Linked DNA regions of Oryctolagus cuniculus. The protein of the gene in region 2 interacts with the protein of the main gene of each other region in a pairwise test. Links are inferred from orthologs where the notes say so. Each region holds a gene or a part of one and is shown on either strand. Other genes may lie near its edges.

Evidence for each region.
Region 1: the proteins of TSKS (region 2) and TSSK2 interact in binary tests that used the Homo sapiens proteins (3 or more experiments, as listed by UniProt). The link is inferred for Oryctolagus cuniculus from reciprocal best matches to the Homo sapiens genes TSKS and TSSK2.

What each region holds. Positions count from the first base shown.
Region 1 is NC_091452.1:26,932,573-26,936,289, reverse strand, and holds TSSK2 (testis-specific serine/threonine-protein kinase 2), read right to left. Parts: upstream 2,226-3,717; 5' UTR 2,093-2,225; coding exon 1,028-2,092; 3' UTR 802-1,027; downstream 1-801.
Region 2 is NC_091449.1:7,788,920-7,792,725, reverse strand, and holds part of TSKS (testis-specific serine kinase substrate), read right to left. Parts: intron 2,526-3,806; coding exon 2,430-2,525; intron 2,302-2,429; coding exon 2,218-2,301; intron 2,043-2,217; coding exon 1,932-2,042; intron 1,549-1,931; coding exon 1,262-1,548; intron 807-1,261; coding exon 612-806; intron 354-611; coding exon 180-353; intron 1-179. UniProt on the Homo sapiens protein: May play a role in testicular physiology, most probably in the process of spermatogenesis or spermatid development.

The DNA.
Region 1 (3,717 bases), on a different chromosome or scaffold from region 2:
CGGTGCTGGCTTAGCGAGGCCGGCACAGGACACACAGGCCCACTCCCCTGGGGTGCGGTCCCCACGCTGCACCCCTCCCCCTGCCGTGGGGCATGAGGCAGCTTCCCGAGACTGTTTTCTATCGAAGCCTCTCCTGTCATTAAAGAACACTTGGTGTACTTTGCACGGGTGCTGGGGGCTCAGGGAGAGGGCTGCTGGCAGGGAGGAAGTGGGGAGGGGAAGGAAGTGGAGGTCCATGGGTGGGAGGGGAAGGGGTGCTGTCCAGGTGCTGACCATCTCAAGTGCTGGGCCTGCATATGGGAGCTGTCACCTAGGAGCAGTGGGTGACCAGAGAGGAAGCGCAAGACCCTGGGCAGGGTGCCACCCCTGACACTGCCGAGTGGGGCTTGCAGGTCCACAGGGTGGAGAGGGCACAGGTGAAAGGTCTCAGCCCTGGGGGTCAGGGTCACTGGTATCAGACGCCCTAGGGTGCTGCCGAGAAGGACACTGGGAGAGCGGCTGCGTGAGGGCGCCGGTCAGGGTTGGAGTGGGCCGCCCTTTGCCGTGGCAAGGGAGAGGCACGGAGCTGGCCAGCTTGGAGGCGCTAGGGACAGGCAGTTCCAGGGAAGATGCTCGCAGGGCCTGGCAGGTGGACTCCGACACCGGTCCCTGCCTCGCCCACAAGGCCTCCCGCTACGTCATGCCTGTGCCCGGGCAAGGCTCCCTGGCCCCCTAATGCTGGATGGAGACCCCTCCCCCACGCCGCAGAGGGGGCGGTTGCCTGAGTCCTAGAGAAAAAGACTCCTCACTGGGCACTTTGGATGCTTTGTATACACTTTGTGGTTTATTTGGTGATCGGCAGTCAGCGTCTCCGCGACTGAGTGGAAGAAAGCTAACAGAACGTAATCAAAATAGTGTTTTAATTGACGAATTTTACTTGTTCCATGCACCTGTGCCTTCTTCCGCTCCTATCTGCCTCCTTGGTGTACTGGAGTGCACACTGCGCGCCACACACCCCCGCCGCCGCCCCCGGGCCCTCTCGCCACCGTTAGGTGCTGGCTTTCCCCACCTCGGCTCCGGAGATGTGATGGTCTTTCACCCTGGAGGTCTCGGCCAGCCTTTCCTCCACCTTGTCCTCCTTCTCTGGCATCACCAGCAGCCGGTGCTGGGTTTTGGCGCCCAGCTTGTGCTCGGGCCTGGAGGCTTGGCGGGCATCCAGTTTGCACTCGGCCCGAAACTTGCCCTCCCCCTCCCTCTTGAAGGAGGCAGAGGACATGGCCTTGGGCTTGGGCGGCTGCAGCCACGAGTGGCTGAGGATCTCGTCGATGTGCAGGCGCCGGTTGACGTCGGGCTGCAGGATGCGGTAAATGAGGTCCTTGCACTCCCCGGTCAGGTTCTTGGAGCGCGGGAAGTCCACGCGGTGCTCCTTCTGGATGCGCAGCATCTTCTTGATGTCGGAGTCGTCGTAGGGCATGGAGCCGCACACCATGATATAGAGGATGACGCCCAGGCTCCAGATGTCGTAGACCTTGGGCTGGTAGGGGATGCCCTGCAGCACCTCGGGGGCTGCGTACGCCGCCGACCCGCAGAAGGTCTTGCTGAGGATGATGCGCCCGCTGCCGTCCCGCAGGCAGCGCTTGGAGAAGCCGAAGTCGGACAGCTTGATGTTGAAGTCCTTGTCGAGGAGGAGGTTCTCGCACTTGAGGTCCCGGTGGACGACGTCCAGGTCGTGGCAGTACTTGACGGCCGAGGAGAGCTGGCGGAACATCTTGCGCGCCACGTCCTCGTGCAGGGCCCCCCGGCACTTGATGAACTCGAGGAGGTCGCCCTGGACCCCGAGCTCCATGACGATGTAGATGCGGCCGTCCGACGTCTCGAAGATCTCGTAGGTCTTGATGATGGAGCGGTGGTTGACGGTCGCCAGGATGTCCATCTCCCGAGGAAGGAACCTCTCCACGAAGTCAGTGGGCGTCTTCTTGCGGTCGATGATCTTGACCGCCACGTTGAACTTGAGGCGCTCGGAGTAGGCAGACTTGACTTTGGCGTAGGAGCCCTTGCCCAGATTGATGCCCACGATGTAACCCTTCTTCCTTAGGACCGCGGCATCGTCCATGGTGCCCGGAGCGGCTGGCGCCGCTGCCCCTCTACATCCCCTCCCCGCCTGGGCCAGCGGGCATTGTCCTCGTTCGCGCTGCAGGGAGTCGTCTGGCTGGGCTGGGCCTGGACTCGGAGGGGTGGAACGCTCGGCATTGTCTCCAGGTGACTTCAGCGAATGAAGTCACAAAGCCAGGCTGCCTGGAGTGGGGACTGGGGCTTGAGGGGAACGGGGCCCCTGGAACCCTGGAGGCCAGGCCAGCCCAGCAGCAGTGCCTGCTCCCCGCCCGCTTCCCGCCCGGTGGAAGGAAGCCGGCACCCTGGACTGTGGTAACCTCCCTGCTTCTTCTTCCTTGCCATGGCTCCCCATCCGCGAATCGGGCCCCCAGGGGGCGGCATCTCAGGGCCAGCCACGGTGCCAGTCCTGAGCCCGTGTCCCTCTTCTGGCAGTGAAGGCCGACCCTGCATTATTCCTTATCCTGCTAGGTTTGATTTCCTGCAGCCCCTCTGCAGTATGGACACCCTCGGGGCCGGTGTCCTTGGAATCTCATGGTGCCTGCTGGGAGGGGAAGGTGTGCCCTGGTCCAGCCTGATGGATGGACAGAGGCTCTTAGCCCGGTGGACAAGAGTAGCGCAGTGTTGGGGGGTGGGCAGGAGCTGGTGGGAGGTCTCGGGCAGAGAGCTAGGGAGATGGACAGGACTCTGTGGGGGAGGGGGAGAGATGCAGCGGGTGGGCCTCTGGGGTCAGAGAGGAAAGTGGAGAAAAGGCCCCAAGTCAGGTGCACGTGCCAGTGAATGTGCAGGTCTTGGGTGTTGATGGGGCCCGAGGGCTGGCCGCCTCCAGAGCATCAGCCAGGTGAGCAGCCAAAACGCCTGTGTGAGACGGGGCCCAGGGGCCTGAATCCTGTCCGTTTGGCCCTCTGAGGGGCCTGGGCAGGGACTGCCCAGCCTTGCACGTCATTTGCATCTCTCAGAGCACCTTTTGCACCTGGAAATGGGAACATTCTCTTTCTGGATTGTGCATGTGTGTGCGTGTGCATGCTTGCACATGCACGTGTGTGCATGTGTAGTGTGTGTGTCTATTTTCCTTTGGAAATGTGGCACTCTGTGTGTGTCCCCTTAGCCCTTTGGAAGTGCTGGTGTCTATGGTCCATCACAGACCATCTGTGCCCATGGCAGCTGGGCAGGAGGTTTAGGAACAGAGAGAAGACCCATGGCATGTGGTGTTGGGGTGGGGGTAGTTATAGGAGGTTTCAAAGCAAAAGTGATGTTGGTGCTGTGTGCACGGGATCAGCAGGGCCCTACTAGGTCGATGGGGCTTGGGAGAGGGGAGGGCAGTGAGCCATCTGACCTCTTGGCCAGAGGCCTGGCCCTGTGGACACACCTGCAGCATGCAGGGTGCACCCTGTGTCTGGTGGCTGCAACGGAGGATTTCGGGAGCCGGACAGCAGACTGGCGGTGAGGCTGAGAGGAGACTGTGGGTGGGCCGAGGTGGGCGTGGCCCCTCAGGGACCACCTTCCAGCAGCATACTCTGGTTGACAGCTTCCGCTTGATGCTTCTCTTCCTCCTGGGGCTCTTTGCAGCAGGGACGGCCAGCACTTCACTCCTTTGTGTCCCTGAAGGTTGCTGGCCAGGACTCGGGA
Region 2 (3,806 bases):
CCCACAATGCCGTGGTGCTGCGTTTGTATCTGTCACGCCTTTCCGGAGCTGGCAGGACACTGACTTCCCCTTGTTGAAAGGGAGGAGAGGCAGCTCCCAGAGCACGCAGCTCCCGCCCGCCCTTCGCGAACGCCCGTCGGGGCCCAGAGGGCATCCTGGGGCAGGCCCTGCCCCCTCACCTGGCGCAGCGGGCGCAGGAGCCTTGAGGGGACCGATCCAAAGTCACGGAGAGGTCGGGCCCCCTTCGGGAGTTCTGGAATTGCCGCCCCAGCTCCTCCAGAATCGGTTTCACCGGGCCTAGCCCCTCCAGTTCGCTCCTGAGAGAAGCCACGGATACGGCCGACCGCTCCACCCTGAGGCAGAGTGACCAGTGCTGCAGCGAGGCCCCCAGGCCCCCACCCATTACCAGCCCCAGGTCCCCGGCACGCTGCCTGCCAGCCCCTCTGCCCGTCATTTAAAGGTGTGGAACCCACTTCTCTCATTGGTTCCATCCCTTGGGCAGGGCACGCCCCCTTGCTCTTAATTGGCGCTGCTCCACGTCAGTATTTGGTCGGGCACACTTGATTGGCCCCGCCCGGCTTGGCCCCGCCCCAGCCCCGCCCCTCGCGTACATGGTGCACAGTTCGTCCGCACGGCCTCGCAGCTCCTGCAGGCCCCGCGCCGTCTGCGCCTGCTCGCGCTGCGCCCGCTCCCACTGGCCGAGAAAGCCGTCCAGCCTGCCGCCCAGCCCCCCGAGCAGCCGCAAGGCCTCCTGCACGGCGCCCTCCTCCTGGTGCCAGCGGGCGGTCAGCGAGGACACCTCCCTCCTGTGGGGTCAGAGAGGGGTGCGGTGGGAGCCGGGTTGGGACACGCCGCAGTGACCCCGCCTCCCACCCGATCTCCACACTCTCCCCTGCCCTGCTGTCCTCCAGAGCTCCCCCATCTGCTATTCCGGCCCTGCCACTGTCAGGGCTCCAAGCTCCACCCCGCTCCCCCAGGCAGGACCTTGCCAAGGCATCGCTCACCCCGGGCCTGCGCCTCTAGGAGAGGAGATGCCACCCACAGACCTAAGACACGGGTTCTTCCAAGTCCCCTCAGCCCCTCCTGGCTGCACCCCCTGCATGCTCTCCGCTGTAGGTGCCTTCTCTAAGTCCCGTCTCCACCTCCACCGTGGCTCAGGCCCCGCCCCTCGAGGCCCCGCCCACCTCCCTACCCCTTGCCCCGCCCTCGAGCCCCGCCCGCCCCGGTTTAGCGCTCGCCGGGGCCGCGTGCTACGTCGCACCTCAGCTCCTCGAGGCCGGCGGACACCTTCTGCAGCTCCTGCTCGCTCACGTGGGGGCTCTCGCCAGCCCGGGGCCCCACGCCCCAGCCGCCGGGGGCCAGGCCGCGCGGCCTCGGGGGCTCGTCAGGGCTCCCCGGCGGGCCCGAGCAGCCCTGGGGCGGCGCCGCGGGACCCAGGCCGTGCCGGGAGAGGCCGGCTTCCAGCTTCTGCTCCAGCTCCTGTAGCTCCGCCTCCTGCCTGCGCGGGGTCTCGTCCTGCAGCTGCTGCTGGAGGTAGCGCAGCTTCTCCTGGGCGCGGGTGGGGGAGGGCGGGGCGGTCACTGCGGCCAGCCCACGCGTCCACCCCCAGGTCCGCGCGGGAGTCCCGAGGGAGAGGAGCGGGCCCGGACCAGCCGCACCCTTCGAGGCCCGGCTGGAGGCGTGGCCCGTGCCTGTCCTCTGCCCCCAGCCTCCTGGGTGTCAGAGGCCCGTGCGCTTCCCCGGGGTTGCGTGGGGGACAGCGGTGGCCGCGTGCACGGGGCGGGCTCAAGTGCGTGACTGCACGCAGGATGGGGCGCCCATCAGAATCCCTCTTGGTGGAGCGCCGGTGTGCATGAGCGACAGGGGCACGTGGTGGCGCCCCAGGCCCCCGGGCGTCCGGCCTTGAGACCCCCCCCGCCCCGCCCACTTGCCTCCAGCATGGCGGAGTTCTGCTTCAGGAGGTTGGTCTTCATTTCCGCGTCCTCCACCGACCGCGTCACCTTCCGGCAGTTCTCCTGGGTCAGGACACCAGGGCGCCGGCCCTGCCTTCCCATTCCAGTTCCGCCCGCCGGCCCTCGGCCTCGCTGCTTTGCCCTGGGCTCCCCCCGGCACGTCTGCTCTGCAGCCCGGCTCCCGCCTCGGCCAGACCGGCCCTGCGCTGGCCTCCTCCCGGCCCTGTCCCCGCCCCGCGCCCCGGTCCTGGGCCCCGGGTCTCACCTTGAGCTGGCTGCAGTATCCTTCCAGCTCCTCGGCCTCCTGCCGCCTTCGCTCCAGGTTCTCGCTCAGCACCGAGCACTCGCTCTGGGGCGTGCAAGGGTGGGGGGATCAGCTAAGGCGGCGGGGACAGCCCGTGATAGGCAGGATCCCCCTGACCATGTGGAGGCTTGGCCCTGGAGGAAGGGGCGGTACCATGAGGGGGGGGCTCCTACCTGCAGGGTCTGCACGTGCTGGTTGACCCGCGTGGTCCTTTCCTTCAAGCTGGTGATGGAGTCTTTGGCACGGACCAGTCCGCTGTTGACCCCGCTCTGGAGGAGAGAAGGAGATGGGGACACACTCAGGCGAACCCCAACCCTCAGAGACGCCTTCTGCAGCTGCCAAGCCCTGCTCACTCCTGGACTTTGCCTTGGAGTGGCTGTGTGGCCTTGGCGTGGGGACTGCACGTCCTTGATTCTGAATATTCCGGCTGGTTCTGACCACGTGACCTGTTCCAGCCAATGGGAGGGAGTAAGTGGCCCGATGTGGCACTGGTGATGAGCTGAAAGGATCCGCTAAGCCCTCCCACATCTGCCTTTGCAAGAGCTGCAGGGTGACAGTGGAAGAACTAGCTGGGTGCTCCCTGCTGATGCGCCTGGGAGGGCAGCAGAGGACGGCCCCAGTGCCTGGGCCCCTGCACCCGCGTGGGAGACCCGGATGAAGTTCCAGGGTCCTGGAGGCGGACATTTGGCCCAGTGATTAAGATGCCTCTTAGGGATGCCTGCACCTGTATCACAGTGCCTAGGTTCAAGAGCCGGCTTTGCCTTCCGTTCCAGCCACCTGCTAGTGTGCGCCCTGGGGGGTAGCAGGTGGCAACTCAGTGGGGTCCCTGGCGCCCAGGTGGGAGACCTGGGTTGAGTTGCCAGCCCCTGGCTTTTGCAGGCACTCAGGGGTGAGGCAGTGAATGGGAGATTTTCCTGCGTCTCTGTCTCTCACTTTTCAAATAAATGATTTTTTAATTAAAAACAAAATCACAAAATATAGTCAGAGAAATGGCAAGGGAATTTAATTCTAGTGGTACACTAGAATATGTCAGTCTAATACAAAAGATGGCAGGGTTGATTAACAGCATATAAAATAAATAGCAAGCTGGGAGAAGAAAGGCCCTCCTTATCAGTAATTAAACTAAAAGGATCAGGACAGATAGTGCGGCACCGTGGGTGGAGCTACTGCTTGGGATGCCCCTTCCTCTTCTCTCTCTTTCTTTTTTTAAGATTTATTCATTTGAAAGTCAGAGTTATACAGAGAGAGAAGGAGATGCAGAGAGAGAGAGAGAGAGAGAGAGAGAGGTCTTCCATCCGCTGGTTCACTCCCCAGCTGGCTGCAATAGCTGGAGCTGCACCAATCCGAAGCCAGGAGCCAGGAGCTTCCTCCAGGTCTCCCACGCGGGTGCAGGGGCCCAAGGACCTGGGCCATCTCCTACTGCTTTCCCAGGCCATAGCAGAGAGCTGGATGGGAAGTGGAGCAGCCGGGACTTGAACCGGTGCCCTTATGGGGTGCCGGCACTGCAGGTGGTGGTTTTACCCGCTGCGCCACAGTGCCGGCCTCCCATC